Nothobranchius furzeri: one gene and its partners. The protein of the gene in region 1 purifies or fractionates together with the protein of each later gene. This does not show direct contact. Links are inferred from orthologs where the notes say so. Each region holds a gene or a part of one and is shown in the gene's direction. Other genes may lie near its edges.

Region 1 (10,628 bases):
AATGGCTACAATAAGATTGTTAATGGAAAGTCGTGAGATCCCTCCCTCAGTCCTGTCTCTTCATCCAGCCACCAGTGATGACTGTAAAACCTCTGGATTCTTCTAACTGGCCGACTAAACATGGACGCTGGCATTAATGTGACTTGTAGTGATTGATGTGTCGTTTTCCTTAAAAGATGTGCAGCAGCACTAATTGTATATGCATTTGTGAGTGATCATAAAGAAGTGTAGTAAACAAAGAGATCTGCGGAGATGTTTTCAGTGACCCCCTTCCTAAAAATGGGACTAGAGTGAGTTGGTGTCTACTTGGAGATGGATGAAAAATGTGCAGTGTCGGCTGAAATGGTGCTAAATTCTTACGCACCTCATTTTTGCAACAAGCTCTCTCTGTGGCTGGGTACATCAGTCAAGATTTGTTTTTCTGTCGAGCAAATTTACTTTACGTAATTATGGATCCGGTTTTCTTTTTTCCGTTTACCTTCATGTTTTTTGTTTTCAATCAGCTCTCCATTTCCTCCTAAAATGTTCTTATTTTCCACACTTGCTTAAGTGTCTGAATCCCATTAGAAAATTGTGGAGCAACTTTTCCAATAATCCAACCTTAACAGATTTTTGTCTCTCCACAGGTGCCATTCCCAGTTCTTCAGGGGGAGGGGGTGGAATATCTTGGCCGTGCAGATGAAGCCATCATTGCCATTTCCAATTACAGGCTCCACATCAAGTTCAAGGACTCTGTCGTCAACGTGAGTGCACGTTTCATGCTTTAAATTTACTGGAAAACAAACTTTTCTGTAGCTTTGGTTGAAATGGCACAAGTGTTTGAGTGGTTCCTGCTGCTGCCATGCCACGCCACTGCAGAGGCCAATCGGAGACGAGAGGAGGGGTTGTTAGTTGCCTCTCCTCTTTACTCTTTCCCTCATATCACTTTTGTAAACTCAAAACTTTGCTTATTAGGAAAACAAGCCTGTGAGAATTTTAGTCAAGATACTTATAAAAGTAGTTTTAGTCGCATTTCTTCATATTTGGGACTAAGGTATGTGCATCAGGCTTACACCACTGAAGTCACAGAGTCTCTGAAGGAGAGAGGCTTAATGTGAGATCCTAGCACCGAGCTCGGCCCCTGCTGGCGCTGAAGTCCACCTGCGCTCCTGCTGACGTCAGCCTTCACTCCAACACAAACAGGCATATTGTTTGCATTTAGTGGCAGTGAAATTCCTCCTTCTTCCCCAAAATCCTTTCACTTTTTCCTGTGGGATTTGGTTTTTGGAAAGAATGACAGGAATTTAAAAAGCAGAAGGAAAGAAATCCTGATCACCTGGATGTTTAAGTCTGAGTGGAGAAGAAGGGGAAGTAAGTCATCGGGTTTAAATGTCGTCGGCTCAGATTCCACATACAGCTGAGGGCTCCTGCCTTGACTTTAGCTGTAAAGATGCACTATGTATGAATGTCAGCAAGCCACAACCTCTCACCTACAACTCTCTACACAACTTGCCCCTTACTTCTAAGCTGTTTTCCTGCCCTTTGCCCTGTCTGTTTGTCTTTCTCTCCGTGATTTCCATTTGCTTTGGGCATGAGTTGCAAGTATGTGTGATTCACGGTTATCTTTCATCCTGCACTCTTAGGTGTTTATTTTTCCCTTTTAACTCTTCATTTCCCTTTTTACGTCTTAATTTACTTTTAGGTTTAATTTTCTTTTCTCCATTTCCTCCTGTCATGTCCTCCCCCCCTTCTTTGTGTTGGCTCCATGGTATCATTGTGCTTTAGACCTACCCTGGTGTGGACAATGAGATTTCTGTGAGTACCCGGTGATTAAACATCACACTCTACCACAGTCCAGACGGCATTGTGCTTCAGCTCCTCTTCACTACATGGTTAACAAGCATGTCACTATTATTAAGCAGGAATGTGACAATGACTTAGTTTTCTGATTGTTGAACTGGGGTTACCCAGAGAAATGGCAATTATAAAGATGCTGCAAATGAATATGGGTCCAAAAGTGTGTCAGTCTTTGCAAAAACAAGAGAATGCATTAAATTTAGAGCTGTGATTTAGGCTCATAAGAGGCCAAGAGGGGTATTCTCCTTTCAAACTGTGTTTAAAGTCTCCCTTTGTGTAGCTAGTCGGGACGCAGACTGTGCTGTGCTGGACTGGAGGGTGATGGTCTCAGATGTGCTTTCTGCTGTGTCAGCAGATCATCATGCTGATTATGAATGCTCTCTGTCTCCCTCTACAGGTGCCGCTCAGACTGATAGAAAGTGTGGAAAGCAGGGATATGTTCCAGCTGCACATAATCTGCAAAGACTCGAAAGTTGTCAGGTGGGAAGAGGAGCTAGGTTTATTGATTTTGGTGTTTATTTTCATATACAGTGCAAAAATTCAATTTTCTTAAGTAATTTACCACAGTTCACCAAGCTTTACTTCTAAATATTTTATACAAGAATATCTTTAGAAACTCTTATTAGTTTTAATGTATGTATGTCGATGGTTTTAATTCAATATCTTGGCCCTGCGCAATAGCCCCGCCCCCTCCTGGGTGAAAATGATTCAGCTCCTGTTTGCTAATAAAAAGATGTTAAGTGTCAAAAAGTGTTGCCTTCATGACAAGTAGCTGATCAACAATATACAGATTTCTAAAAAAAAAAACTTTAGGAGGTATCTGCAGAACCTTTATTTTTACCTCTCCCAGTACAAAGTGGAGCCGAACAGAGAAAATCTGTGACAGCAGTGAAACCACGGTTACTGAAGTTCATTTCTGTTTGTTATACTCTTGTAAGGATCAATGCTTTCTATCAGTTGTCATTCTATCTCAGACTAAAAATAAACAAATCCGAGAAAGGCAGTGTGGTTCTGATGACTGATGGTTCTTTCCACCATCTAAAATAGTTCCAGTTGCAGCAAGTCTGTTATCCACAGAAACTCCCAGAAAGACCAAAGCTTTCAACCAAGACCAACGCTTCAGCTGAGCTTATTGCGTAGTTTTGATACTCGGAATAAGAATTTATTTTAGTATTTACTTTATCTTCTTGTTATTTACTGCAACATCACCATAAGACATTTCATTTGTGTCCCTTTTAGTTTCATAATTAATCAGATGCCAAAAGAAAATTGCAAGTTTCTCTGTACAGAATTAAAGGTGAATGGTTTTATTCATGTTTGACTGTGTAAAAATGAGAATTTCTGCTTTACTGTCACTGTAGAAATGGCATCTTGCATCCTACAACACTTCTACTCACCTTTCTCTCGCTGTCATGTTGTTTACTATTATAGTCTGTAAGTAACAAAGAATGCATGAATGCAACTTGCAGCAAACTGTTTTTGAGCTCATTAGAAGGCTTTACCTTGTTTGCAGGTTACAGTTTGGGCCATTAGATGTCGCTATAATAAACTTGACAAGTTTAAGTTCAGTGTAGTCGTTTTTATTGGTGTATTTTTTATTAGATTTCACTGTGACTCCTAATTTTTCCCAGAACATATGGAAGAAAATGTACATTAAACTAAAAAGGGTTTAAGGGAGAAATTAGTATAATTATCTGTAAAGTTGTATAAACAGTGGGGACTTTAGACAGTCTGAACAGCCAGTCCCATACTTCCTTATGGGAATGGGTCTGAGAACTCTTCTATTCAAATAACCTCACCACCTAAGAATTCCAACCGAGCCAATCAGTGCTGAGCAGCGTACACACACACACACACACACACACACACCGCAACGCTGGGTTTCTCATAAACAACGAAGACTGAAGCGGCGTTTACTGCGGCTCTTTCCTCTGTTCTAAATGACTTGAACATGTCTTTAAAACCACCACAACAAGAAGTACTAAAAATCGTTTTTCTAAAGAAAAATGTTTGCATCATTGCCAGACGCCATTTTTGACTACAGCTAAAAGAAAACTACAGTACAGTCAGCATATCCGCCTTTTTTTTTTGACTGGTTATTTTTGAGCTGGCTCGTCCCACCCCTCATGTGCCTCTCTGGCTCTTGAGTATCCAGACTAGTTATCTGTGTAGAAATAAACAGAGGACGAGTTTGGCTGGCCAGGCTAGACTTGAGATGCTTTTGGTGCTGTAGCTCTGCAGGTCTATGTTTATTATGGATGTCTTTAAATGTAATAATTTTTACAGATGCCACTTTGCAACATTCAAGCAGTGCCAGGAGTGGGTGAAGCGTCTGAACCGGGCTATAGCCCACCCGTCTCGGTTAGAGGACTTATTTGCCCTGGCCTATCATGCGTGGTGTCTTGGAGGCAATGTAGATGACGAAGACCAGCATGTTCATCTGTGTCGCCCAGGTTTGCATCCCACAACACGATGATGTTGAGCTACCTGTTTTTATTTTATTTTTTTAATAAACCAATTGTTTTCTGTCCGAGCAGGCGATCACGTGCGCTACAGAATGGAAATGGAGGTCAGGAGAATGGGCTTCGACACACAAAATGTCTGGAGGGTGTCTGACATCAACTGCAACTACAAGTATGTCACATTAACAGAGTAATGGTATAAAGTACTTAAGCTGCGCTGCCGCTAACAGTTGCAAAATGTCCTTTTGTGCTTTTTTTTTATTTTATTTTATTTTTTTGTGATAGATATGAAATTTTTGGGCCGCTGCTGACATAAATTCTTCTAAAATCAGCAGATTTTGTACAGAATGAAAATGATTAAAGCTGAATTTACATTATTATGTACACACAACACACACATTTATGGTTCTGCGATGATTCATTCACTGTTCACATGTCTAAACAATTACACCTCACCCTCTGAAACAGGCAAACAAATGGAGACAAGATATAAAAAATATCTGTTAATATCGGCCTGGCTTTATTTATCAAACCCATATCGATATGTTAAACAATGACTAACATCGGCCGATACAGATATTGATGCCGATATATTGTCCATCTCTTTTTTTTGTGTGTGTGTGATCTAAACTCTAAACACAGGAGATTGTGTGAAGAAAAGTTTGTGATTAATCATCGGTAGAATGTCCTTTCAGCTGAAGCTGTTTCACTCTTTATGAACACGTGTACTTGATCAGGTCAGGTGTTTAATCCTTGGTTATTTATCAGTAAGCAATTGCCTATTGTCAAAGACAATCTGAAAGTTCCTTCATTGTAGAGGTACATCCAAAGATTACTGTCTGAGAGTTTCTTTGTAATCCCTCCAGTGGTTCATGAGATTTGTGTTGACAAACGGAGATGACTCTAGCCGTTACAGGGGCTGTATCATGCTATTTTACACCTTCCAGAGCAATGGTAGGCACATCATATGATAAAATATTACCGTTGGTACTATTGAGTTGTAATTTTTGATGAAATATTAGTTATTTTCGAGATGCATTACTTCTACACAATATAGTACACAACTGCAGACCCAGAGACAACAGAATCATGCCATCATGTCCAACTCAGCCCCCCTCCCAACCAGCTTGCTAGGCAGGCGAGACGATTTGCAGCTTAGACAGAAAAATGCATGCATGAAGCCACAAACCACTTAGGGGGTGTTTTTCCTGAGGAAGTAACAATATAAAACAACCAACTGTGTTGAATAATTAGATTAAAAATAAAAACAATTATTATTATTAGTAGTAGTAGTAACCAGGGATGTGTATTGGTGAAATTCTGGCAATACGATACATATCATGATACAGGTGAGACGATACGATGTATCACGATATATTGCGATACATTCAGTCAGACGTTACAAGCATTTTTTTTTTTACTGAATTTTTTGTAAGAATGTTCAATAAACAGTCCAAACTGATACGTAACATGTTTAACATGAGGTATCTGAACCATGATGGAGGGTTTTACATTTCAATGGTGGAAACAAAACCCATTGCACACTGCTGCCAACTAGCGGGTGGCAATTGAATTGCACAAAACGAAAAGAAAATAAACAAATGTTTGCATGTTAGTTTTTTCAAGAATTAGATACACGGCTTTTGAATATCGATGTAATAATAGCAGGAAAAAATATCACGATATATTGCCATATCGATATTTTCTTACATCCCTAGTAGTAACACAACCGTTTCCAAAGACTAAGCATAAACAGATAATTCAGTCGGTGCATCGTGTCTCCTTTGTGATCCTGCAATAAAAAGGTCAGTCTTCCTGAAGATCACATCCTGCTGAGAGAGACGGACACACAGGACAACTGACTAATTACACAAACAGCCACCTGCTGAGGTCCATGACTCAGCTTAATGTTTTACTTTCCTCACACAGCCCGTCTCTCAGCAGGTGAATAGGAACTGAAGATGTATCATGGGAGAGTTACTGAGGAGATCAGAGACAGATGGAGTGGCAGTGATGCGGAGATTGGTTTTCTGTCAGAGCAGCATTAAAAATAAACTCTCACCTTCTCCACTAGGTTGTGTTCCAGCTACCCGCAGAAGCTTCTGGTTCCAATATGGATCACAGATAAGGAGCTGGAGAGTGTGGCTTCCTTCAGGTCCTGGAAGAGGATACCTGTGGTGGTCTACAGGTGCGGTTTCCAGACTCATGGTGGGCTGAGCATCAGCCTTTTGTAGTATGGATCTTAGAATTGAATCTAGCTTGTTTTTCAGGCACCAAAAGAATGGAGCCGTGATTGCTCGTTGCAGCCAGCCTGAGATCAGCTGGTGGGGCTGGAGAAACACAGATGATGAGTACCTGGTCACGTCCATAGCTAAGGCATGTCACATGGACACCGGAGCCAAAGGAACAACAGTCAACCGACAGCGAGGGGACGCCCCAGACCCTTCTGACAGTGATTTTGGTAAAGTTGCTGTTCTTAAGATATTGGTCAGACTCTGCATGAAAACTGTTGAAATTCAGTGTAACTACACTTTACCATATGCACCTCAAAAAAATATTCTGGTAAGATGTCGACTGAATATTAAAAATATATATGTATGGAGTTATATCAGTATATACACAGTGGTAATACTGGCAGCTCATTGTTTTATTGTTCTGGAGGTTATTGGATTATTTAGAGAGCCTAAGTTACGCCCGTCTACTTCCGGACCCTGGTTCCCCAGGAGAACAAAAAAGGAATGCAAGGGGCTGAAAGGCAATTTTCTAATTCCGCTTGTTATGTGCCATGGATTTCACATATGATGTTCGTGAATTTTAAAGACGCATGTTGATACCAAGAAAGCGCTTATTTTTGAACAGGGGGAAATGCCATTTTAGGTTAGGACTACAAATACGCTTCACAAAAGTGACATCATCAAACCAAACAGAGAGAAAAACAGAGGGAAAATGGCTGTGAGATCAGTGAACTTCAGATCCTTCCTTCAGGAGGAAAGAACCAACCACCAAGTAGCAGCTACGCTGGGGGAGAAGAGATTTAAACTTTTACAAGCTGATCAATCTCAAAGTATGTCACTGACGTGGTCAAAACACCCGTCATTACTTTTCATTTAAAGAGGTATAACATATGTGTGATCCAGAAAATAGCTCTTTTAGCCCCATTGACTTGCATTAATGTTTTTCTAGGGATGTCCCGATCAGGTTTTTTTTGCCCTCGAGTCCGAGTCATTTGATTTTGAGAATCTGTCGATACCGAGTCCCGATCCGATACTTTCGATACATAATAAAAAATAAAGAAACGGAAGAAACAGTTCCAGAATGTTCCTTATTTTTTATTTAATTACATTTTTATTTTAACAACAGATCACTTCTGTGAGGTAGCTTGAACAATCAAGTAACAAATAACATAAATTCTTCACTTTTGGTCTTTATTACAAATATAAAAAGTCTAACATAACAACAGATAGCACTTCAACTTAAAATACCTGGCAGGGGTCTATTTTGCCTCGGCCCCCAAAATGCTTAGATACGTCCCTGGGCATGGGTCGGAGTTTTGAAGATGATCTGAATCGTATCAACTATATAAATACTACATGCTGATAGATTATTGCTTTATATAGATACAAACGTGTAGTGGGATAAATCTACCTACATTTTATTTTGTTAAGAACTTTGTTTTGTTTTCTTGGTTTTTATTTTTCTATCTTCCTGTCCTGTCTGTCTCTGATCTTCCTGCATCTCCCAGTCCTCCAGAAAAACTCCTGCCTGCTTCCTTCTTTTTCACTTCACAAGTAACTTTTTAACTAGCCGATCAAGTTGATCTATTGACCGCAAAAAAAGCGGAGTGTGTTCTGCGCTGCCCGGCTGCGCCAGTGACGAGTGCTGCAGCGCGAGCGCGTCCACACGTCATGCTCAAATACAGACGGAACTTACCAGAGAGAAAATGAACGGACACGAACGACTGTGTGTTAATTATATATTTTTGGTGACGCCACTTAGAAACTTAGAAAATGTTACTGTGGCCGTGTGCAGAACGCAGCTGGAGTTCATGAATAATCAGCGGTCTGCCTGCTGCTCTGCTCAAAAGGATCCCCGCTACGCTGAGTCCATATAAATAATATAATAAAGGTAGAAACTGGATCTTTTCTGTGCTCCTTCTGGGTGTGTAAGTTAAGGGCATCAGGGGAGCCTGGCAACCTTTAAGGAGAACCAAGTTGCTCTCCTGTAATTTGAACCCAGCATCCAACTCCGGATCGGGGCTTGAATCGGGAAGTAAAGCCCAAGTCCCGATCAGTCTGAAACCACGTGTTCGGGGCAGATTTCCGATCATGTGATCGGATCGGGACATCCCTAATTTTTTCGTTCTTCTGGGGACCCCTGAGCCGACCAGAAAGAGAGGAGACTTAGGCTCCCTATTGGGACAGTATGATGGAGCTAAGACCTATAGTCATCTAAGAACTCATCAGCAGCAAGCTCCCGGTAGAAGCACTACGAGAAAATTTAACATTCAACAAAGTAAACAAATGGTACCAATTTCTGAAGATGTACAGAATTCCCCTTGGTGTCCATATTGACTTGCCGGCCTTCTGAGTCAGTCTCAAACACGTCTGCACCTCCAGCTGGTCGGAATTTGGTTAAACGTCTCATCGTTGTATCCAAAAGGGAAAAAAGTGACTGACTATCAGAGGTTTCAGAAGCTGCATCTGACTAATGTTTAATTGGCTGAACGTAGGACTTACGGAAGGTACGGTACCACGTTGACGCAGCAAATTTTGATTGGTCCAAACACTTCAGGGAAAATGTTTGTATTGCCAAAGGAAATGTAAAATTTAAAACAAAATATCAACTGATAAACTAAGACCTTCAGCAGCTCTTGGTTTTGATGTAACGGGCCAAATTAAAATAAAATAACTTTATTGAACAAGTGGCAAACATTTTGAATTAATGGATTTCTATATTTACATCAGAATTGTCAAATATACAGAAGAAATTCCACATTTATACAAATGGAAATGGATTCTAATTAAATAAATACATTTAAAAATTTTCACCTATAAGGACTCTTGTGCCTTTTGTGTAGTTTCACATAATTTACAAAATAAAGACAATATGATTTATTAACAAATTACAGCTATAAAAACATTTAGGCAATAAGAAACAAGAATTTATTAACAAAACTACTAAACTTTTTCAAAAATGTATGCGTGAAAGCCGGTTGGTGTGTCTATACTGTGACATCATTGGCAAGCGCAATGCCCTAAGCCAGTCTGGCAGCCCGAGCAGATCCGGTACCTACACCGCCACTGTTCCCGGCAGGATGTCATCAGCTGGTTTGGGCTCAGATCGGAAGCTATCTTTTATTTTGAGTGCTATTTAAAAACACGGGATTTTCTTCCAAATCCAGCTGTGAAAATTCAAAAACCTTTTTCAGCTGAGGTTTTAATACTGTTTTACACATCCCATTCTTACATGAAGACCTCGTGTCTGGAGTTTGTGCATCACGAGTAAATAATTAAAGCTTAATATATTGTCTCCATTTTTTAAATATAATGGTTTCTGATTTAATAATGAATTTAATTTACAGCGCCCTTTATAGCAGGAGATCTCAAAGGGCTACAGGCAAGCAAAAAACATGACTTTAAAACAAGCAGTTCAGGAATAAATAATAAAAGGTTAAAAACCACAGCCAAGTGCCAGTTTAATTCACTAACAAAATCCTACCCAACAGTCTTACGCAACATGTTTAAAGCATTACCAAATACATGTTCTGCTTTTCCCTCCTACTGGTTGAAAGCAGAATTACAGCTGTCATGAACCTGTCGTAGACCGTGCTAATGGGCCTACACTAACATGAACCACCTGATACTAAATAAGCCACAATAATATTACTTAAAAGTCCAGTAGCAACAAAGCCAGGTCACAATCAGTCTGTGATTTCATAGCCTTCTTCAGCTTCGAGTGAGTGTAGGCCACGCTAATGTTCACTCTGGTTTTATGTCTTTGCTTTGCCTACAAAAACATCACTTGCTTACTTATACTTCCACGCTCAGTCATGATGTTGACAGTCGAGGAACTGAAAAAGCGAACTGCTAGTCATATTAGCTACCAGCACACTAAACAGCTACTGCTATAAAGCCGGTAGAGCGCTTTCCACTGGTACCGACCTGAACCACAAAACTGTGAAGTGCAGTTTCTGGTCAGCAGAGTGCTGCAGAGGGCTGCTCAATGTGAAGCTGCTCAAGTCCTCAAGAACCACTGACACTAGTTAGAAAGCAATAACTTAAACTGTTTAAAATGCTTAAGTATTGCTTTAAGCTTTGATTCGATGTTGCA
Region 2 (11,408 bases), on another chromosome or scaffold:
AGCGTACATTTCCTCTCATAATTCGCTCTCTCTGTGCTCAAATGGAAGCACGACTTTCAACCACATTGCAAAAGCTAATGAAGAAAACAAGCTTTTAGTATCATCTGTTGTCATAAAACAGTGTTCTTTTCAGAAGCTATTTATAGAGAAATGGTCACAAAAACAAACCCTGCACAGATAATAGAGAATGCATTAAGGACAATAGCTAATAAATGAGCACAAAAAGATGCTGCCTATATAAACACTGTTAAAAGCACAAGTTAGTAATATGACCTGTACTGGGTGATGCCACTGGTTTGTAAACACAATGGTTGAAAATGCCTTTGGCTTTTATTGTGGCTGTGCCTTCCACAGAGCGTTTCATTTGTTCTCACTTTTCCTTTCATTTGAAACAAACTGATAAAAAATAAAGTTTACTAAACTTCTGTCTCTCTTTTATTGAAATTTCTATTTTTATTATTTTTCCTGGTAATCTATTTTACATAATTTACAAACAGGCTGAAGTTTTAGCAGTAAAAGTCACACGGGTCTGGGCTTTGGTCTTTTACTGTTGACTCGTTATAGAAGTTTTGATAAGATGGGTGAAATGACACACAATGTTAAAGGTGTGGTTCACTGAAAAAAACATTGTTATGGAAAAACTTATGTTTATTAATTCATGATCATGGACTCAACCAACTGAATGTAAATGTATTGCTCTATGCCTCTCTGCATGCTCACTCATTCAGACACACCCACACAAGCCACTCACACACACACACACACACACACACACACACACACACACACACACACACACACACACACACACACACATTCTTGACTTCCCGCAAACACACACACAATCCCTCTATAAATAAACTCTGTAACCGGATGTTCTGTGCATTATGCTTCAAGCATCTTGCCACGGTTATAATTGTTTGACTTGTTGTTCATTGTCTCCTCTCTTCACTACAGGAAATGGGTTATTGATAAACATATTGATAAAATCGGTGACAAATATTTTCAATGATTATTTCTGATTATAATGGTCACTGAGAGTTTTTCATCCAGGCTGACCATGAAATAGGCTCCTACACCTTTCTCCTGCATTATCATTCTGGAACTGCGCTGCTCTGGGTGGCTGCATGTTGGAGTAGCTCTGTTGACTATATCTTAGAGGATTTTTACTGCAATTTTTTCACTTTTTTCACTTTTTGAGCATTTGTTGTGATGCGTAAACCACGGTAACAAGCTGGTTTACAATCGGGAGCAGCTGATTAACATTGGAAAGGTTGAAATAATACCTCAACTGAAGCCACAAATCCCAAATGAGCTAAAACGCAAGAAGCGTGGGTGCAGAGCGGGAGCAAAACGGAGACAGAGAAAGCGGAAATTCAAACCATCTCTTCCATCGATCATAATGGGCAATGATAAATCAGGTGCTGTCAGCATCAGAAGCAGGGACCTGAAAAGGCTCAACAGCCTAATAAAAAAGGCTGTTTCTGTTTTGGGGATGACTGTGGAACAACTGGAGGAGATAATGCAAAGAAGGATTCTCCAGAGAATCAAGAAAATTATGGACAACCCTGAGCATTCTCTTCACAAGACTGTCTGACAACGGAAGAGTGTCTTCAGTCAGAGTCTTCAATTTCGCTGCAACACTGACCGCTACTGGAGATCCTTCCTGCCAACAGCCATTGTAATATACAATAACTCTTTGACGACTTTATTATTATTATTATTATTATTATTATTATTATTATTATTATGAGCTACTACAGCAATCAATTTCCCTCTGGGATCAATAAAGTATTTTTGAATTGAATTGAATTGAATTAGCTTCTGAGAGAAAGCAGACGGTGAAACTCTAGGATTTGAAAATCCTGACACATCTACGTCACACTTTCACTTAATGTTCATGGACTCGCCCATATTGACTCGTGACAGGGGAAGGCTGTTGTTGGTTTAACGTCCAGGAATCAGCAGACAACATCCCGAAAGCTAACTGTTAGCATTAGCAACTCCACCACACAGCAGAACTCCTCTAGGCTTGTGTCCTTGTGGAGATAAAACATCCACGTTGCAAATGCAGTAAGTGCTAGAGTCACTTTATGTTAACCAACCAGAGGCAAAATGTCCAAATATCAGTGTTGTGATTATTAGTCAACGAATAATTTGTAGGCTTTTACTTACTTTTTGGATTCTTCAATAAAATTCGTAAATATGGAAATAGTTACCGATTTTATTACGTAATTAGGATATCCGGAGATATCCTCGGGGCACCACCGCTTTAACAGGGGAACAATGAATCCAAAACCTCTTATCAGTCTGTCTTAAAGTTAGTAAAATTCATTTACGAGCAGCAGTCATAAATTCATATCACACAAACAAATTCAGTTGAGACAAAACTGAATTGGCAAAACATTTATTAACTAATACAATCACTACAGCTCCTTCTGAAGCGTTTAGCCAATCAATATTAACCAACTTATTTTATCAAACAAACACAAACAATGAAACAATGAAATGATAATGTAAAACAATCTGACCCAATAAGTGTGTGTTTTAGTCATGTCCCCTACCAACACTAAAACATGTATGTGTGTGTGTGTGTGTGTGTTCATCTTTCAACAGTGATGTGAGCAAACTTTCATGCACAGTAAAACTTAACAAACTTCAAAACCGCTTCACAAAGATCAATAAACAAAACAAAAGATCACTCAAAGGCAAATTAAATATCTAAATATTTATTTTATGCTGTGGCCACAGCTCAAAACCTTAGATATTACAATGAAAGAAGCAAAACGGCTTACTCTTAAGATGATCCGATGGCGTTTTTGGTACGATGTAGAGCCCGGTGCTACTTTAAAGCAAATCGCGCGGTTTGATTGCTTGTTCTGAACTATGTTAGAGAAGCGGAAGAGAAAGAGAGAGAGTTAAAACTTTGAACGAACGAACAGCGAGGCGTCCCTCAGTGTTCAATCGGCATTCTCCATTGCTTCCAGTAGCTCGGTGTTCCATCCACTTCAGCAGCTAGGTCTCGTGCACATGCTGTCCAGAGCCGCAGCAAACGAGTGCGTCTTCATGCCAGTTGAACTGGAACAAAAGACAGATAAGTTTCGTTCTGTCTCCCTTTTATAGACTCGGCTGTCCGGCGGGAGGAAGCTGTGGGTTCCGGGGTTCGGCTCCGCTTTGGTGACGTCATCACGCTGCTTCCGGGTGCAAAGGCTCATGGGACATGAAGTTGTTGCTGGCGCTGATTTTTAATATCTGCTTTTTCAGAGCGCAGATGACACAGTCTTTTGGAGAAATTACTGCATAGTAATTTCCTCATGAGGGCAGACCCTCAACATTAGGAAATAAGACTCCAAATCCTGCTGTCTGCTACCACTTTCTGCAGCAGCAGATTTGTCTGTGCTGATCCAAGCCATTCTGGGATTTTTTTGCCCCATTTGCAAGGCATTCATACCAGAGACCACTGCAAATGTATTGATTAAACAAGTTTCCCACGCCTTTAAAATGGCTACGTTTTGAATGAATGTAAAGGAATTCTTGTGGTTCTTTTGCAAGAATAACGATTTAAAGTGAAATTATTTCCCTTTGGTTTAGAATCAAATCAATTTCATTACATTTTCTTTATGTTTCATTTAACTTTTTCAAATTTGTAACCAGTGTTTCAATGTCCTTTATCCACGTACTGCAAGCCATGCATAGAATCAAATTGTCTTTTATATGTTCAGGACATACAGGTGAATCAATACAGTGTTTTTCTCTCATCTTTGTGGTACAGGAAAAACAACATTTAAAAGTAAAAGTATATAAAGATAAGATTATATAGAAATATGAGAAAAGTAAATGTATTGATTTTCATTGACAGTATAAAAGTTTTATTGGAAAGAAAATAGCATGCTGGAAAATAGTGCTGAAGAACAGAGCTGTTGCAGTATGTCAATATTTGTATTTAAGTTGCACCCAGTGACCTTGGGTGTTCTGAAAGGCGCTTTTAAATAAAATGTATTATTATTATTATTATTAAACACGTCTGTTTATAATTTCCCTGAGCTGGAGAAAAAAAGGTAAAAAAAAAAAAGAAATAGATAGTTAATAAGACAATCTGATTATTTTACAATTTACTTAATAGTGAATAAATGAAACTTTAATCCTTTAAGGTCCCAATGAGTATAAAATGAAAAGCTGGAGGAAATTATCACACCATATTTAGTTACATTGGATCTTTAATCCCAACACGGATTAGAATACAAATATCATACACTATTTCTCTTTTCAACAGATCATTTTTCCTGTCCTTGGTCCCTGGCAAACATTACAAACAAATGCATAGTGCTAGCATCATTTGAATATTTAAAACAGTCCCTACAGTCTTTTTAGGTCATTCATTATTATAAAGTGAAAACTAAAAGTTTGCATTCTCCACATAACTTTTAGATTTCACCATCACTTTTGAAGACAGACATTTTGATTAATTTTATTCTATATTTACATATCTTTGGCTGAAATATGTATTCTAAATGTGGCAAGCATGTTGTTCTGATTTAGGAAAAAACATCCTTTGTCCTGGTTTTGCTAACGCTTTACTTTATGTAGGTGAAAAATTAAAGAGCTCACAGCACCCTTGAGATTCCAGTGAGCCAAAACTGTGGAAGAAAAGAAGATGAAACATGGAGGGAGGTAACCTACTCTACTTTCTTTGTGCCCCTCTGCAGAGGACGTTCAGCTCTCTGCAAAATCCTGTGTAATAAACTAAATGTGTGTAAATGTTGACCCATACAAGCACAGACAAGCTTACTTCATTTAGTTTTCCCTACAGCATCTTCTGTGTGTTGCCATGGAAACACATGGCAGCAGAAGAGAAGGATGAATGTGCAAAAATGGAACAGACACATATAAGCCAGCAATCTCCACACATCACCCACCAGTCGGACTAAAGCCTGAAGACCATTTATAAACAAACACACAAAGTGAAAAAACAAAAAACTGTAAAACACACATATTTTAAAGAGTGTGTGCATAGTAAATAGTCCCTATATTAAACATCCCCCCTTATAACAAAGTCAAATCAGCCACTAGCTGTGCACTCTTACTTTTTGTTTTAATAACTATGGGAGGCTTCAACAGAAAATGATTCCCTGGAAAAAGTGTTGTGGACTGAAATTTTTATTTTAAGATGATGTTACCTATTTAATGATTAGACATTTATAAAGTTAATTCTAGACCATCATGACAATAATCTATTTATGATCTCATTATTTACAGCTGTGAATCCGTGCTGTGTCATATGAAGTGCTTATTGTGTGATTGGTCTGAAAAAAGTGCTTTCTCAAGGAACAATAATTGTGAATTTGTCCACTGCTGCCACCCAGTGGAATATGTGTGAAAGTGAATTAAACTATCAATAATGTAATTTTTTGCAACATCATGATTTTCTCAATTTACCTTTTAACTGTAGAAATACACAATTTAATAGTTCTGTGCCGATATCGTTTTTGCAAACATGCTTTTATTACTCAAAACGTTTGTGCATTTCGTCTTATTTTATTTCAATTTTCGTTTTTATTTTGACCACACTGTCGTTTCACTGTTTTATCCAGTTTAATAATATGATTACATGTTAAAATTAAATCCTTCTTGGATTCTGGATGACGATAAAATCAAGTAAAATCTAACACTAGTCTACATTTACCATCAGCCTTTGCGTTAAGGAAACGCAAGACGTCATTGAGCCAATCACGATGTTAGAACTTTATTTCAACCCCGTTGATTGGCTAGTTTTGCATTTTTCTTCCCACAATGCTTTGCGTAGAATTCAAATCAAGTGGACCAATGAGAAAGCGCCGTGGCGACAGAGCGAGCATTTAACTTAATACTAGAAACTGTTTTCGAAGGGCAGAACAGAACACAGGAGACGCCGCCGTCGGACACGTCTGCTGAATTATTCCATGAGGAAAGCAGATTTATTTTAATATTTATGTCTATATATGTCGTTTTATAATTGTAGAACCTAATGTTAATTATCGCTTGCTTTCAGGAAGTCTAAACTCGTGATTAGATTTAAATTCAGACGTGTATGGGAGAAAGTTAGCTAGCTAGGCTAAAGTAACGTCGGTTGTGTTAGGGTTAGTAGTTTGATTCTTGTAGTTTTCACCACGTTTACTGCGCGGAGAGAAAATAAACATTCCTGTAAGTTCATAGAAGACAGCTCTAATACAAAATGAGTGCTGGTACCGCAAAGCCGTTGGAACGTGCGGATCCCAAATCGGCACCTCTCAAAGAAATCCCAGAAATTCTCGTTGATTCCCGAACCATGAAAAGATACACGAGGGGGAGATTCCTCGGGAAGGGTGGTTTCGCCAAATGCTACGAGATCACAGATGTAGAGACGAAGACGGTGTTTGCTGGCAAGATCGTAGCTAAGTATTTGTTACAAAAGCAGCACCAAAGGGATAAGATGACCTCGGAAATCGCCATACACAAGAGTCTGGATCACGCTAACATCGTCGGCTTCCACGGGTTTTTCGAAGACGATGACCATGTGTTTGTGGTCCTGGAGATCTGCAGGAGAAGGGTGAGTACGATGGAAGGAAACCAGCTTTTCAGTGAGGTTTAGAGCCGACGGTTAAACACTGCGACATCTTCCGTTGTCCTCATGTTTAAATAGTGGGAAGCAAGCAGTACCAGACTCATTTAACACCTCACAACTATTTGATCTTTGATAAAAACATCTTAAAAAGAAACTTCTAGCCTATAAATGTGGGTTTATTGGTCCAGTACCACTCTGGTGGCCCCATGTGTACCATATGTTCAATCTTATAATTAAACGCATAAAAGATCACTCTTTTCTTGAGCTGTTGTCTTGACTGTTTAAAATGCTTTATTTCAGTCCTTGCTGGAGCTGCACAAACGCCGCAAGGCTGTGACGGAGCCTGAAGCTCGCTACTACATGGCCCAGCTGCTGAAGGGTGTCCAGTACCTGCACAACAACAAGGTCATCCACAGAGACCTGAAACTGGGCAATATCTTCCTCAACGACGACATGGATGTCAAAATTGGTACTCCACTTGCTTGGACTTGTAGCTTGCACTAGATCTTTTGTTTTTATCACGTCGAGAAGGATTTGAATCAAAGCATGCCTCGTTATTACGTGTTCTCTCTTGTTTAGGGGACTTTGGCTTGGCGACTAAGATCGAGTTTGAAGGCGAACGAAAGAAGACTTTGTGTGGAACGCCCAACTACATAGCACCAGAAGTGCTTTGTAAAAAGGGCCACAGCTATGAGGTCGATGTCTGGTCACTTGGGTGCATATTGTAAGTACAGGCCCACAAACGCAACTCATTTGAAATGTCCCAGCTGTGAAAGCTTCCCTTTTCTGTTCTTTCAGGTACACTCTGTTGGTGGGCAAGCCCCCGTTTGAGACCTCCTGTTTGAAGGACACCTACAGTCGCATCAAGAAGAACAACTACACCATCCCCTGGGTATGAAAATCAAACTGAATGCACCGTTTTCTTTCTAAAATTAAGTTAATAATTGAGTCGTATGATCTGAACAACCTGCAGCACATCACCCCGACTGCGGCGACTCTGATCAAGAAGATGCTGCACGCCGATCCTGCACAGAGGCCAAGCGTTGCTGAAGTGCAGGCCGATGAGTTCTTTACGTCCGGCTACATCCCCCTCCGTCTGCCCACCACGTGTCTTACTGTACCCCCTCGGTTCTCCATCGCCCCCTCCACAACTGCAGAGCTCAGCCAGCGGCGTCCTCTGACTGCTCTAAACAAGGGTAATGGCGATCAAAATGAAAATCTTTGTTTTTATTTTTCCTAGGCAATGATGTTTGAGTTGATCCACATAGATTTTATTAGTCTTGTTTTAGATGTTAACGTTTTTTTTTTCTTTGTTCCCAGTTGGTACGGAGAAAACGGAGGTGAAAGACGAGCCTATGCAAAGGTGTTTTTCATTTATTTATCACATGACAAACATTTTATAAAAATTCTAGTTCTGTTAGTTTTTATCTTTTCTTTGCGTAGATGTTGTTAACCTTTAAATGTGTGTGTGTGCAGGGCGGCTGAACCATCAGAGCCCTACCTGAAAGACATGCTGCAGCAGCTGAACAGCATCATGTCCACCAAACCCTCTGAAAGGGCCGTCATCCAGCAAGGTTAGTGGACGTGTCTCACTTCGTCTTTACCGATCTTGTGGAGTCTCTGTTGCTATTTCTCTGAATTTTGTCAAAACGGATGCGGTTATCTACTTTTTAATCTACATCTAAGGTTTTTTTGTGTAATTCCAGAGGAGGCCGAGGATCCTGCGTGCATCCCCATCTTCTGGATCAGCAAATGGGTCGACTACTCTGATAAATATGGATTAGGTAAATGTTAGGAGACCGTTTGTTTGTTCACATAAGCTGCAATTTTAACTTTGTAAGTTTGGTTTAGACTATTAAAAGTATATACAGGGTATCTGCAGGTCCATAAAAAGTCTTAAATTAGCTTTTCCAAATTTAAGGCCTTAAAAATCCTTAAAAATGACAAATAGTCCTTAAATAGTTTCCAACGGTCTTAAATTACCAAAGACCCAATAAACAAGATTCTTTTATTTCTATAAAATTTTCATGAATTTCTAGTTAGTTTGGCATTTTTTGTGTATGATATTGGCGTAAGCGGAACCGTACACATTCGGTTGGTTGTGAAAGGGGGCTATTTTTAGATGAGCATGCTAGTGGGAGTTTGCACCATGGGGAAGTGCAACATTAATGGTAAATGGATGGCTAATCCCACGTTCACGACCTGGTTAGCACCGGTTCCAGGCAATAGCTGGAAATTATAGCTTAAATTTAATTTAAAAAAAAAAGAAGCTTAAATTTGGTCAAAGTGGCCTTAAAAAAGGTCTTAAAAAGTCTTAAATCTGGCTCCCTTAAACCTGCAGATACCCTGTATAGATGTTATCTGGTACTGTTAAAAGTATCTTTACAGAGTTTTTAATGTCTGTTCCAGGCTACCAGCTCTGCGACAACAGCGTGGGGGTTCTGTTCAACGATTACACCCGGCTCATCATGTACGCTGACGGAGACAGCCTCCAGTACATCGATAAGACTGCAGCTGAGTCCTACCTCAGCGTTCGCTCTTTCCCCGCTACTCTCAACAAAAAGGTCAGACAGTGTTTTTATTTATTTTTTAATTCCATTTTATCCCCTTCAAGGCCATCACAGTGACTTGTATTTCTCTCTGGCTGTAGATTACGCTGCTGAAATACTTCCGTAACTATATGAGCGAGCACCTCCTGAAAGCTGGGGCCAACATGGCGCGGCGGGAGGGAGATGAGCTGGCACGGCTGCCTTACCTCTCCTTGTGGTTTAGGACGAAAAGCGCCATCGTACTGCACCTCAGCAACGGCACAGTTCAGATCAACTTCTTCCAGGTTAGATGGTTAACCCTTTCACTCAACGCGTGATGCTTCACGTGCGCGATCCCTCATCTTCTATCATTATGTGCTTTTCAGGATCACACCAAGCTGATCTTGTGTCCGCTCATGTCGGCGGTGACCTACATCGACGAGAAGCGAGACTTCCGCACTTACAAGCTGTCTCTTCTGGAGGAGTTCGGCTGCAGTAAGGAGCTGGCTAGCCGCATACGTTACGCCAAGCAGATGGTGGAGAAGCTGCAGGACAGCAAGGCTTCTTCTCCTGCACAATAGTCTAGTTTGTTCCTCAAACCTTCAATCACTTTCCCTTCTAGTCGCAGAACTTTTAATATTACGTGTATTTTTTAAAGCGAAGCAGAGGTTTTCATGTCACACTTACACAATGTGCTCCATCAACCTAAACTTTAATATGCCAACATGTTTTCCTCTTATGTTCACCTTTCATGGACTGCTTAATTATCAACACCAAGACTAATAACGTAGCTTGAAAAGAGCTGTTGAAATGCATCATTTAAGAAGTTGAGGCGTTTGGTTGTAAACCTTTCCTTTTTCCTGTTGTTGTTCTTGTGTTTTAAATCATTCAGGAAGATGTTCGTCTTGTGAGAGATGGACTCTCAACATGCTGTTCATAAAGCACTGGTCTGCTTTTCCAGTCTGTGTGTGCGGAAACTGACCGTGTTAATGTTTTCATCATGTACATTCTTCCTGTTTGTTTGTGTTTGTAACTGTTGGCTAAGCGGGTTGATGGTGAACAAACTTGTACATACTGCTGAGTATTTTAAAGAGGGTAAACCTCTGCTCAAGATGAAATAAAGATTGTTTTTCCAAGTAAAAATAAAAAATTGTTAATTCTCTCAAATCTTTGCATTTTGTTTATTCAAGTCAACAAAGTGCAAAATACTGAGCTAATTTCAGCTCCATTGGAAGCCTAAAGTCATGTCCACGGGTCTCTTACAGTAAAAAAAACACAATCTGGGCCATTATGTTATCTTCTGGTCTTGTTTATGTGCCATAGCTTTAACTTGATCATGTCTGAATTGTGAAGACAGTTTACGGCACAGGTTATTCAGGCTTTGTGTGAAATCACGTAGAGCTGAGGTAGTTCAATTCAATTTTATTTATATAGCGCCAAATCACGACAAGAGTTGTCTCAAGGCATAATAAACATTCCAATACAGGTCAGTTCATTAAGCCAATCAGAAATAATGTTTCCTATATAAGGAACCCAGCAAATTGCATCAAGTCACTGACTAGTGTCAGTGACTTTACAGCAATCCTCATACTAAGCAAGCATAAAGCGACAGTGGAGAGGAAAACTCCCTTAGGTAGTGAACTCTGTTCCCTGAGGGCTGGTGCCCAGCATGTTTTAGTTGTTTCCCTACACAAACACAGTTGATTCACCTGTTCAGCTGCTCATCAAACTCTGGAGAAGCTGTTAAATCACCCGTTGATTAATATCTGGTGTGTTGAAGCAGGGAAACAACTAAAACCTGCTGGATACTGGCCCTTGGGGAAGGGAGTTGACTATCCCTGACAGAGGACTTCAAATGATTGTCTCACCAAATTCTTGCCTTATATATTCACATATATAGGATAGCTTGCCAGGCTATCATCAAACCAGACAAGAGAAGAAAAACGAGTTTAGCAAGCATTGCACCCATTTACAAGTACAACTAATGTGCTTCTGGGTGTAGAGCAAAGCAGACTAGGATAACTTTTACTGCCCCATTCACTTACATTAATTTTATTTTGTCTGAGGAACTCTTGAGTTAACTCAAAGTCAAAGTCAGTTTAATTGTCACTTCTGCCACATGTACAGGACATACAGAGAAATGAAATTACGTTACTCTCAAACTCTCGCTAGATAGAAAATAAACATTTAGTATAAAAACAGTAACCAAGTTCAGAGAGACTGTGGGGGAAGAGAGAGGAGAGTTGGGAGAGCCGGGAGGGAGTTTAGCTTCCTAACTGCCTGATGGATAAAGCTGTCCT
Region 3 (10,628 bases), on another chromosome or scaffold:
ATGTTCACACATTAAAAACTTTTGTGGTTTATAAAGAATTTTAGTTTTCATCTGAATAAATAAAGGGATTAAAAGCGGGAACCACTCCAAAACAATCTCTCAACCTTTGCTTTTTTGGCTGATGTCAGCACAGTGCTGGGCAGAATGTGCTCAAGTGTAAATGTTTGGTAAAAAAATAATGCGTTTTCATTAAAATCCCGCTTCGTTAGCCTGGCATGCCAGATTAATTACATACAATTTGGAGTAGTTCACTAGTTTTGTAACTTCTTTGTCGAACACGCTCAACTACACGTCATATAATTACACCCTGAATTTTAAAGCTCATCAACACACCAGAAGTAGTTTGAAATGTGTCAGTGTGTTGTGAAAATAAAAGCCAGCAGCATCTTTCTGGTTCATACAAGCCCGTAGAGGACTAGAGGCTCTTGCTCATCACATAACTTAGCTCTGTTTCCTGACACTAGTCCAGCTCGGAGTCGTTTCAGTTTTACGAACCGCGTTTCTAGACTTTGCTTAATTTGCACATCTACCAGCTACTTGGCTGTTTGAGTTTTATTTTGAAAACCAATAACCGGATGCAATTTGCTGTGTTGTGCTTAGCTTGTTGCCGGCTAGAGCCGGACGCTGATACGGATCTCGGACGTGTAGGAGTTAAAACGCACGAAAGGTGACGGAACTACAGTTTTGTTCGATTGAATACAAATAAGATGAACTCTAGAGGATAATCAGTTTAGTTGTGTCAGCCGTATAAGCTGCAGAGCTAAATGATCCGCTAGCTTAGCACAAGTGGATACTTTTGTATGTGTTTAAGGACGTAAAACAAACAGTGTGAGGTGTTCTGGTGCAGATTCTCACTCATCCAGGTCATGGTGATCCAAGCGTTCAGATGAAGGCAGCTGGACTCCTCTGGTTTCTTGAAGACGTTTCTCTTGTCCTCCGAGGAGCTTTGTCAGTTCTGACTGGAATATGGGAGAGTCCAGTTTATAAGCTGTAGCTGTCTGTTGTTGTTTAACGAGCAGAAACTACTGTGGGTACTCCTCTCCATCCCCTGATGAGTCGTGGGCTTCTGTTGTATAATGTGAGCTAAGTAACATCTCTTTGGTCCTTCAGTCAGACCAGAACATATTTGTTTATTCAGCTCAGAAAGTCAACATGTAGTAGTTGATTTAATTAAAGATGTACAAATGAGTAATATCAAAGAAAAAGGATGCCCCTCCCTCTGGTGATAACACTTTTATCCTTGGGGGGAGTTTTCTCTTTCTATAGGAGGACCTTGTGTGACGTCTACATCCCAGTGCTTTAGTACCGGGGCCTTTTTTCCAGGGTATGATGACTACCGGTAGTTTAACCGGTCATTTATTAGTCAAAACCTCTGAGATTTCTGAAAACCCATCTCTGTCCGTGTCCAAGTAAATACCAGCCATCCACTGTATGATGCTGTTCAAGTTCCCACAATGACTAACGGCATGCAGCACCTGATCAACCAAGTCAGGTGTGGAAGAGATGGCATCCAAACAGAAATATAGATGAGGAGCAAACACAAGAAAGAAAAAGTCAAAACCAGAGGAGTGTGTTGTGGGCATAAACATCCCAGCTGCTGTTCATGAGACAGAAGAGAGAATAATTGTGTCTGGGTGTGGACTGGAGGTGGAATTTTACAGCAGCATCATTATTATTCACTCAATTCAATTGAAGTTTATTTATAAAGCGCCAAATCACGACGAGTTGTCTCAAGGACCTTCACATAATAAAATATTCTAATACAGGTCAGTTCATTAAGCCAATCAGTAAAATGTTTCCTAAATAAGGAACCCAGCAGGTTGCATCGAGTCACTGACTAGTGTCAGAGTCTTTACAGCAATCCGCATACATAAGCAAGCATGCAGCGACAGTGGAGAGGAAAACTCCCTTTTAACAGGAAGAAACCTCCAGAGGATCCTGGCTCAGTATAAGCAGCCATCCTCCACGACTCATATAAATGTCTGATATCGTCTTTGGCTCAAAGCCTTTCAATCCATGCTATAAATAGTATTAATATTATTGGTGGATATAAATAATATGAGAGAGAGAGAGAGAGAGAGAGAGAGAGAGAGAGAGAGAGAGAGAGAGAGAGAGAGAGAGAGAGAGAGAGAGAGAGAGAGAGAGAGAGAGAGAGAGAGAGAGAGAGAGAAAATGACACCCCTCCCCCATCCCAGCACACGCACCAGTCAGTGACTTGATGCAATTTGCTGGGTTCCTTATATAGGAAACATTATTTCTGATTGGCTTAATGAACTGACCTGAATTGGAATTTTTATTATGTGAAGTGCCTTGAGACGACTCTTGTCGTGATTTGGCGCTATATAGATAAACTTGAATTGAATTGAATTGAACCATCTTGGCAGTCTGACCTTCGACCTCAGTCCATCCCCGGGCTGCTTTGGAACAGCGGGTCTAGGACTAATCATCACGTGGTCTTTATGGAACCAGTATGCCAGTAATGTGAGGAAGCGCGTCCAAAGGTAAACTGCTGAAACAAACGCAGTCAGGTCTAGAGAACACACTTTTACTGAGACTGGAATCAAAATTCTTGCTGGTCAGGTCATGAAATGGGAAAGAAAAGGTTTTTTCCTTTTCATCATCACCGTTTTGTAGCAGTGGTGACTGACAAATACAAGTTCTTCTCCAGTTCCAGGTTCTCTAACTGTTCTGGGAGAGCAGGAGATGGGATTCAGGGTTGTGAGGCCTGTTGGGCCCGCGCTGCTGCTCCTCGTCCTGCTGGTAACGGTGCTCTGCAGGCCGGACAGCTCAGACTACTACGACCTGCTGGGAGTTAGCAAGGAGGCAACCACCAGAGAGATACGACAGGCGTTCAAGAAGCTGGCGCTCACCATGCACCCCGACAAAAACCCAGTCAGTCACTCTCAAATGTTCACCCCAACAAATGTTTTCTGCTGATTAAAACACATACATGTTCTAGGGCGACCCGTTGGCCCACGACAAGTTCCTGAGAGTAAACCGGGCCTATGAGGTTCTGAAAGACGAGGACCTGAGAAAGAAATATGATAAATATGGAGAAAAGGGACTGGACGAGCAGCAGGGAGGACGTTACGAGAGCTGGAACTACTACAGATATGACTTTGGTAGGACGCTACCAGCATCTGCTCTGCAACCAGGACGTAGGTGTTTAACGTGCTCTGTTTACAGGAATTTACGACGACGATCTGGAGATCATCACTTTGGATAGCGGAGACTTCGGTAAGATCTGGATTCATGTTTTAGCGTCAGAGAGACTGAAAGAAGAGAATTATGGTGCAAAGTTCATTTATGTCAGTAATTCAACCTAAAAGGCGAAACTAACGTCTGAGACACTCATTCCATGTTAAACCAAATACAGCACCCGGCCCAAACACACCACCAATAAAGAGGTCACACACATTCTGCTGGACCGCCTTTAGCTTTGATTACGACACACATTCTCTGTGGCGTCACCAGACTTGTCTCCATCAGTGTTGCGCTAACGTCTTACCATGATCACCACTGATGACGGTGGAGTCTGACCGCTGTACAAAGCCTTCTCCAGCACATCCCAAAGGTTCTCAATGGGGTTAAGGTCTGGACTCTGTGGTGGCCAATCCATGTGTGAGAATGACGTCTCATGCTCCCTGAACCACTCTTTCACTATCTGAGCCTGATGAATCCTGGCATTGTCATCTTGGAATATGGCCGTGCCATCAGGGAAGATGGAATAACCTGGTCATTCAGGATGTTCAGGTAGTCAGCTGACCTCATTCTTAGAGCACATCCTGTTGCTGAACCTAGACCTGACCACCTGCAGCAAGCCCAGATCATAACATTGCCCCCACAGGCTTGTACAGTAGGCACTAGGCATGATGGGTGCATCACTTCATCTGCCTCTCTTCTTACCCTGATGCACCTTCACCCCCCCCCCCCCCCCCCATCGTGAGGTGGGTTCTAACATTGTCTTTCACTCAGTCTCCACATGCTAGTGGACAACTGCAACGGATGTCTATAAACGAGGCGGTCCGCAGTTGAAGAAGTTGAAAACACATCCTTTTATCTTATACATCTATCTGCTCCTGGTTCTAATAGAAACCAAGTCCAACATTGATGTAAAGCTGTTTCCAACGAGCTGCCACCATCTTGTCCCACTCTGTTGCATCATCCCGCCCTCCAGATGAATAAAGGGCCCTGATTGGCCCACAAAGCGGATGAAGAGCTGTGATTGGCCCACCATTATGCACCAATTACAGCTCTCTATGTGTTGAGACCCCTCTAGACAGCTGTGATTGGACAGCCAGAATGCCGCTAGAGGCTGCGGAGGTTCCAGCGGATCGTTCCTAGACCAAAGTTAGCAAAGCAAGAATTTGGTCTTGTTCTCTGGGCTAGCTCAGTGCACCAGTTGGGTTAAATAACTTGTTCCAGCAGAGAGATAATCACCTATGCAGTAATTATCCAATAGGAGGTCCCTACCTGTTTGCTTAGTTAAACCCAGGTGGAGACTTTTTTGGCCAGGCAGTGATTTATCAGCTGTTATTTGTTCTAACTGTGATGATCATGGTGTACAGCTGATGAAAGCCCCACATTCAAAACCTCAGACGGTCAGAATATTGTGAAAAGATTCAATATTCTAGTCACAGATTGACTAATGAATCCAGAACACCTGCAGAGGGTTCCTGGGCCTTTAGATGGTCTCGCAGTCTGAGCTGGAGTACTGACAGATGGACCTTTGCACCAGATTCTAGTTTTTTGTCAGTGTCACCCGTGATGGTTAAAAACAAAGCATGAGACCTGTGTGTGTTTCAGACGCTGCTGTAAACTCTGGAGAGATCTGGTTCATCAACTTTTATTTCCCACGATGCTCACACTGCCACCAGCTGGCTCCAACGGTACTGAAGCTCAAACATGAACACCACCCGGTCCAGCTGACGTCTGGTGGAAGCAAACGCGTTGCATGAACTTAACAAAGTCCAAATCTTCAGTTTGTAAACATGAAGGCTTCTGTCTGTGTGAGGTGACGCTCATGTTTTCTTGTCTTTCTCGATTGTTTGTGACCCAGTGGAGGGAGTTTGCCAAAGAGATGGATGGAGTGATCCGGATCGGAGCAGTGAACTGTGGAGACAACAACTACCTCTGCAGGAGGAGGGGCATCAGCAGCTACCCCAGCCTGTACATCTACAGAGCAGGACAGGTATGTCCTCTGGACCGCCCTGGAGCGCGGCCCAGAGGACAGAAATAAGTTACCGAAAGCAGGGACAGTTGGAGGGTTAGTCGCCTCCTCCTCCATCCACCCTTCATTTATTTGTCCACATTGTCTGCTGAAAGGACAGACCTGTGGGTAGTTACAGCGTCTGTGGGAAATGTCCTCTCACTAGGGACAGAGGCAGCTCGTCCACAGATACATCCACTGATGACGTGTCTCCTGGTCCCGATCCAACCCCAGATGCCGTGTCCCACTGCCGTCTGCCACCCTTTGTTTGGGATTTGCAGCACTGCTGATGTTCCTGCTGGTGTGGCTCTACGGCATCTTCTCTGTGTTTCTGCAGACTCCTGAGAAGTTCACCATGGAGAGAACCAAAGAGGACCTGGTCCGCTTCTCTATGCAGTTCATCACCACCGGTGTGACCCAGCTGTGGCAGGGTGTGTGTGTGTGTGAGTGTGTGTGTGAGGATTAGGCTCGGCTGTCTCACCTGTGGTGCCATACCTTTTGTAGGTAACGTGTTCAGGGAGTTGGAGGCTGCTTTTGCATCCAGTCTCAGCTGGCTGATCACCTTCTGCTTCGACACCGGAGGTAACTCCTGACACCCCACCTGAACCTGCTCCTGTCTGCATGAACACTTCTGACAAGCGTTCCTGTTTGTGTCCCTCAGACTGTCTGGAGCCCAGGACAAGGCAGAAACTTGCTGGAATGTTGGTGAGAATGAAGTAGAAAGACCCCAAAGGACACAAATGTTTGATATTGGAGCCAGAAAGCCCCCAAAGGCCTGATCCCACAGCAGCCTGGTGGGGCATCAGCTAGACTACTAACATGTGGGACTCTGAGTGAAAACAGACACTTCTTTACAGAACAGACTGATTAGAAGTGGTATGAGCAGTAACAGATTTCAACATATCTGTTGAATAATAGCTTTTACTGAGGAGGAAGTCATTACATTCAGAGCAGAGGTGAGATGTTTCATGGCGCGCTCCTCTGGTAGCTTCCTGCTGTTGCCAGGGCCTGTCACTGATGTGGAACTGGTTCATATACTTTGTGCTACTGTTGCTTTCTGGATTGTGTAGGACGGTCTGGTTAAGGTGGGATGGATGGACTGCACCGACCAGCAGCAGCTCTGTGAAAGCTTCCAGGTAAGACTGTCCTCAGGTTGATGGAGAGACTTCTGTCCTGTCCACCAGCTGAACGGATAACCGCCCAACATGCCTCATCAGAGCTGTGGTCCACTAGTTACAGGTTATGGGGATGTGTGTGTTGCAGGTGACCAGTGGAGCTACTGGTTTGTTCCCACCGGACAATGCTCTAGATCAGCAAGACCGCATACTGGTAAGAGGCAGAGCACACACTGAAGTACCCTTACGCATACATTCCTGCAGCACTGATGTGGTGGTGCTGTGCTTCAGTGGCTGAAGACGCTGGACACCAAAGAAATCTACAGCCTGGTTCTGAACCATCTACCGGATCTGGAACTGCTGACCACTGACAGCTTCAAGGTAGGACAACGCAGATGCGGATTTACACACGCGTGTTCAGATGATGGTCTCATGTGACCGTCATCATTTACAGGACAAACTGGCCCGTCATCGCTGGGTGGTCAGTTTCACCTTTGGTGGCAGAAGCTCCGCCTCTAACGAGTACAAGAAGCTCCAAGCTTTTCTACTGAACGACCACGTACAGGTACTGGGCCCAGTCTGTGTCTCTGCCGGCCGGTGTCCCCGTCCAGCTAACAGTGTGTCCCCTCAGGTTGGCAGGGTGGACTGCATAGCAGACCCAGCGCTGTGTCAGTCCCTCTATGTTCATAAACCATGTGTGGCGGTCTTTAAGGGACTTGGAATCCAGGACTTTGAGATCTTCCATGGTCAGTAAAGTTCTTCTTGCATGTATGTTCATGTGCAGGTTCCGCTCTCACCTGTGTGTGTGTGTATCCCGTGTGTGTGTTGTGTGTAACCCATGTGTGTGTGCAGGTAAACACGTGTTATACAACATCGTGGCCTTTGCCAGAGACAGCATCCGTGCCCATGTGACAACGCTGTGGCCGGACATCTTCCCCTCAGATAGGAAGGAGCCATGGCTGGTGGACTTCTTTGCTCCGGTTTGTAGTCCTGGCAGGGTCACCTCTTCTCAGGAGGTTTAGTGAGAGCTTGCAGTTCAAGTAAGGTGGAACCTTTGTTGTTGACTTTCGTGCTACTGGACGATAAACGTTGATTTTCTGGCGCTGACGCACACAACAACGCACAGTGCTCTGCTAATGGCTACTAAAATGGAATATTTTAAAGAAACTGCCTTGCTCGGACTGCAGCAGTATTTGGGAAAACACGCCACAATTTACTTAAAAATAAACTTTTTGAAAACTACGGAGTCCGTTACGCGGAAGTTTGTAAAACAAATGACACATGCTGTCGGGTGGCACCAGACACTTTACAAAAGTCGAGGTAAGCTAAATTTTATACATTTATGTAACGTTTGTGCAGTGTGAAAGCACCAGAGAGGATGACGTTTTGCCCTTGGCAGTAGTTTATGATAGTAGTCAGACGAACTGCTGGGAAAACACTCCGTGTCCTCACTACTCTGTAAGCAATCACAAACAATGTGGCCGGGAAAGGTGATTGGAAGTGAATATTATTCTCCTTGAGCACCTTCTTTGCTGCTGCATATTCTCTTCTTCGTTGCATCTCTGGGGCATCATCATTGTCTAGATGTATCCTGGTGCCTTGGAAGTCAACCCCCTTTGCGCGCCAAGCCTTCCTGAGTATATCCTCTTTGGTACGATAACTTGCCAATTTGAAAACAAATGAGCGTGTTGGGGCCCCAACAGAGGGTTTCTCGGCGATAGCACTATGCGCTCTTTCAATCCCTAGTGCTGGAGAAGATTGATCCAATATTTTTTCAAACAGAGTTTCTATACATTTTTCAACAGATGGGAATGTGTCCTCTTCCCTTTCCTTCACGCCGTGAGCAGCCCTCCAGGTCCAGCAGCTTTGTTTCATATCGCATCTGAAGTTTTGCTAATTCCATTAGCGGCTCCTCCGAGGACTGGATTCGAGTCTCCACTCCGTCTATGCGACCCTCTGCTTCATCGAGTCGCTTTCCAACATTGTTCACTTTCTCTCTTATGGCGTTAAACTGCTCATTTGTGTATTTTCTAAGATCACGCAACTCTTTCAGTATCATATCCATGGTAGTGGGGTGGTCTTTCACGTTAGCATTAGCTCCAGGTTGCTGCTCATCCTCCATGTTACTGCTAGCTTGTGACGAAGCATCTTCTTCCACTTCACTGCGTTCTCTTAAACCGATTTTCTTGAATTTCCTGTGCATTTTTGTTCCAAAAAATAATACCCAACACTTTCAGTTTGTGTTTTTTAGGTTTCAAGTTAGATAGGTTGAGAAAACGAGTAATGAAGTCGGGAGCGTTTGCTTTAGGCAGCCATCATTCGACCCATCAGAGCGGAAGCCAACACCACAATATTTAAATACAAACAGTTGTATGGTGTTAAATTTTATCGAAGCAACACATCTCCGTCTCTATAGAGTTGATCAGGTTGTTGATTGAGGCCTGTGGAACGTTGGTCCTCTCCACTTCAATAGCTGTGAGAAGTTGCTGAATATTGGCAGGAACTGGAACACGCTGTTGTATACGCCAATCCAGAGCATCGCAAACATGCTCAATAGGTGACATGTCTGGTGAGGATGCTGGCCATGCAAGAACTGGGATGTAGGGCTGCAGCTATTGAATATTTTTGTAATCGAGTACTCTAATAAATTACCCTTTTGTGTTTGTAATCCATTATATCAAATAGCATGTTATAAAATATGAAAGACCTCTTAAAATGAGCACGCAATTGCCAGTTATTCTTCAAGTTTTATTCAAAATTAGTTTTCAAAACTTCAGCACTTCAACTTTACTTCAGAATCAGAATAAGCTTTATTGCCAGTGCTCCAGCGACCCAGAGCATAGGAACTTGACTCCGCAACACAACCTGACCAAGGTTAAACACACACATGTAGACAAAACAGGTACAGGCAGTCACGAGAGCAGCCAGAACGGCTTCACTGTAAACAAATGCGAGCGGCTGCGGTCCAAACAGCACCAGAACCGCTCACGGCGCATGCGCAAACATGGCTCGCCAGCTGTTTCCCTAACATACGATCGTTTTAATTTCTGCACTTTTTTTTCTCATAATAACAAGGATCGCCGAGAAAGCATGTTTGCCGTGATTATGTCAAGTTATACTGATCATAAAACATTTATTTACTTTCTTTCGTTTTCCTCATAAATACATGTGTCCTCCTGCAGCAGTCCCGAGGGACAACAGACATCAATAACAACACAATAAAAAGTCTGACGTGTTGTAAAAACTGCTATTTTTAGCACATTTTAAGTCCGACGTGTTGCTACCAGATGTACGGTGTGAGCTGAAACCGCTACAAATGAAAAAGTTGCACAGTGTCCGCAGAATATATAGAAATACAGGCTAAAATGCATTATCTTGTAGAGGCTCCGAGCCCACTTGCAGAAGTGACATTTACATGTGAATGTTTCCTGGTCAGGTGCTGCAGCACCGAGGATGTGGTGTTGTGGTAGGCTAAATTCATTTTACAGTATTTACACTGGACTACGTTTTCCGCCTTACGACGTGAAAAATGGCCCCACGCCTTTGACATTTTCTGTCTTTCGCACTCCAACGGGGTCCACGTTGTCCGCCATGGCTTAAGAGAAAGTTAAGTACATTCGCTACTCGCGTGTGCATTCAGTGCAGTGTGTATGTGCGTCACTTATTTCGGTCTGGGTGAAACATGACCCCGGGCGATTACAAAGCCATGAATTAATTAAACATGAATTAAACAAAGCCTCGAGGCAGAGAATTTGACTCAAGGCTTTTTTGTACTTGAATTATTCGAGGTACTCGAGGAATCGTTTCGGCCCTACTGGGATGTTTTCAGCTTCCAGGAATTGTGTACAAATCCTTGCAGTATGGGGCCATGTGTTATCATGCTGCAACAAGAGGTGATGGTTGTGGATGAATGGCACAACAATGGGCCTCACAATCTCATCACGGTACCTCTGTGCATTCAAAATGCCATCAATAAAATTCACCTGTGTTTGTTGTCTATAACAAACGCCTGCCCATACCAGTACCCCACCGCCACCATGGGCCACTCATTCCACAACGTTGACATCAGCAAACCGCTCTCCCACACAACGCTACACACGCAGTCTGCCATCTGCCCTATACAGTGAAACCCAGGACTCATCTGCGGACAGAACGCCTCTCCAAGGCGCCAAATGTTTTCGAGTGTGAGGGTTTGCCCACTCAAGTCGGTTACGACTACGGACTGCAGTCAGGTCCAAACCCCGATGACGACAATGAGCTTCTCTGAGACGGTTTCTGACAGTTTGTGCAGAAATTCTCTGGTT

Evidence for each region.
Region 2: the proteins of mtmr4 (region 1) and plk1 purify together in Homo sapiens (affinity purification with mass spectrometry; 3 studies listed by BioGRID, with this or other methods). This does not show direct contact. The link is inferred for Nothobranchius furzeri from reciprocal best matches to the Homo sapiens genes MTMR4 and PLK1.
Region 3: the proteins of mtmr4 (region 1) and dnajc10 purify together in Homo sapiens (affinity purification with mass spectrometry; 3 studies listed by BioGRID and IntAct, counting the BioPlex papers as one, with this or other methods). This does not show direct contact. The link is inferred for Nothobranchius furzeri from reciprocal best matches to the Homo sapiens genes MTMR4 and DNAJC10.

The regions. Positions count from the first base shown.
Region 1 is NC_091750.1:66,577,947-66,588,574, forward strand, and holds part of mtmr4 (phosphatidylinositol-3,5-bisphosphate 3-phosphatase MTMR4), read left to right. Parts: intron 1-626; coding exon 627-743; intron 744-1,764; coding exon 1,765-1,794; intron 1,795-2,233; coding exon 2,234-2,316; intron 2,317-4,122; coding exon 4,123-4,289; intron 4,290-4,373; coding exon 4,374-4,470; intron 4,471-6,372; coding exon 6,373-6,486; intron 6,487-6,568; coding exon 6,569-6,759; intron 6,760-10,628. UniProt on the Homo sapiens protein: Lipid phosphatase that specifically dephosphorylates the D-3 position of phosphatidylinositol 3-phosphate and phosphatidylinositol 3,5-bisphosphate, generating phosphatidylinositol and phosphatidylinositol 5-phosphate.
Region 2 is NC_091744.1:8,881,892-8,893,299, forward strand, and holds plk1 (serine/threonine-protein kinase PLK1), read left to right. Parts: upstream 1-6,031; 5' UTR 6,032-6,211; coding exon 6,212-6,565; intron 6,566-6,880; coding exon 6,881-7,049; intron 7,050-7,159; coding exon 7,160-7,304; intron 7,305-7,378; coding exon 7,379-7,472; intron 7,473-7,553; coding exon 7,554-7,776; intron 7,777-7,900; coding exon 7,901-7,943; intron 7,944-8,056; coding exon 8,057-8,154; intron 8,155-8,286; coding exon 8,287-8,364; intron 8,365-8,989; coding exon 8,990-9,144; intron 9,145-9,230; coding exon 9,231-9,413; intron 9,414-9,494; coding exon 9,495-9,689; 3' UTR 9,690-10,275; downstream 10,276-11,408. UniProt on the Homo sapiens protein: Serine/threonine-protein kinase that performs several important functions throughout M phase of the cell cycle, including the regulation of centrosome maturation and spindle assembly, the removal of cohesins from chromosome arms, the inactivation of anaphase-promoting complex/cyclosome (APC/C) inhibitors, and the regulation of mitotic exit and cytokinesis.
Region 3 is NC_091754.1:38,659,186-38,669,813, forward strand, and holds the start of dnajc10 (dnaJ homolog subfamily C member 10), read left to right. Parts: upstream 1-564; 5' UTR 565-667; intron 668-855; coding exon of another isoform or gene 856-868; exon of another isoform or gene 869-1,078; intron 1,079-2,668; 5' UTR 2,669-2,703; coding exon 2,704-2,892; intron 2,893-2,959; coding exon 2,960-3,122; intron 3,123-3,186; coding exon 3,187-3,237; intron 3,238-4,806; coding exon 4,807-4,889; intron 4,890-5,059; coding exon 5,060-5,191; intron 5,192-5,546; coding exon 5,547-5,640; intron 5,641-5,713; coding exon 5,714-5,791; intron 5,792-5,870; coding exon 5,871-5,914; intron 5,915-6,279; coding exon 6,280-6,345; intron 6,346-6,472; coding exon 6,473-6,538; intron 6,539-6,615; coding exon 6,616-6,705; intron 6,706-6,778; coding exon 6,779-6,889; intron 6,890-6,955; coding exon 6,956-7,070; intron 7,071-7,176; coding exon 7,177-7,304; intron 7,305-10,628. UniProt on the Homo sapiens protein: Endoplasmic reticulum disulfide reductase involved both in the correct folding of proteins and degradation of misfolded proteins.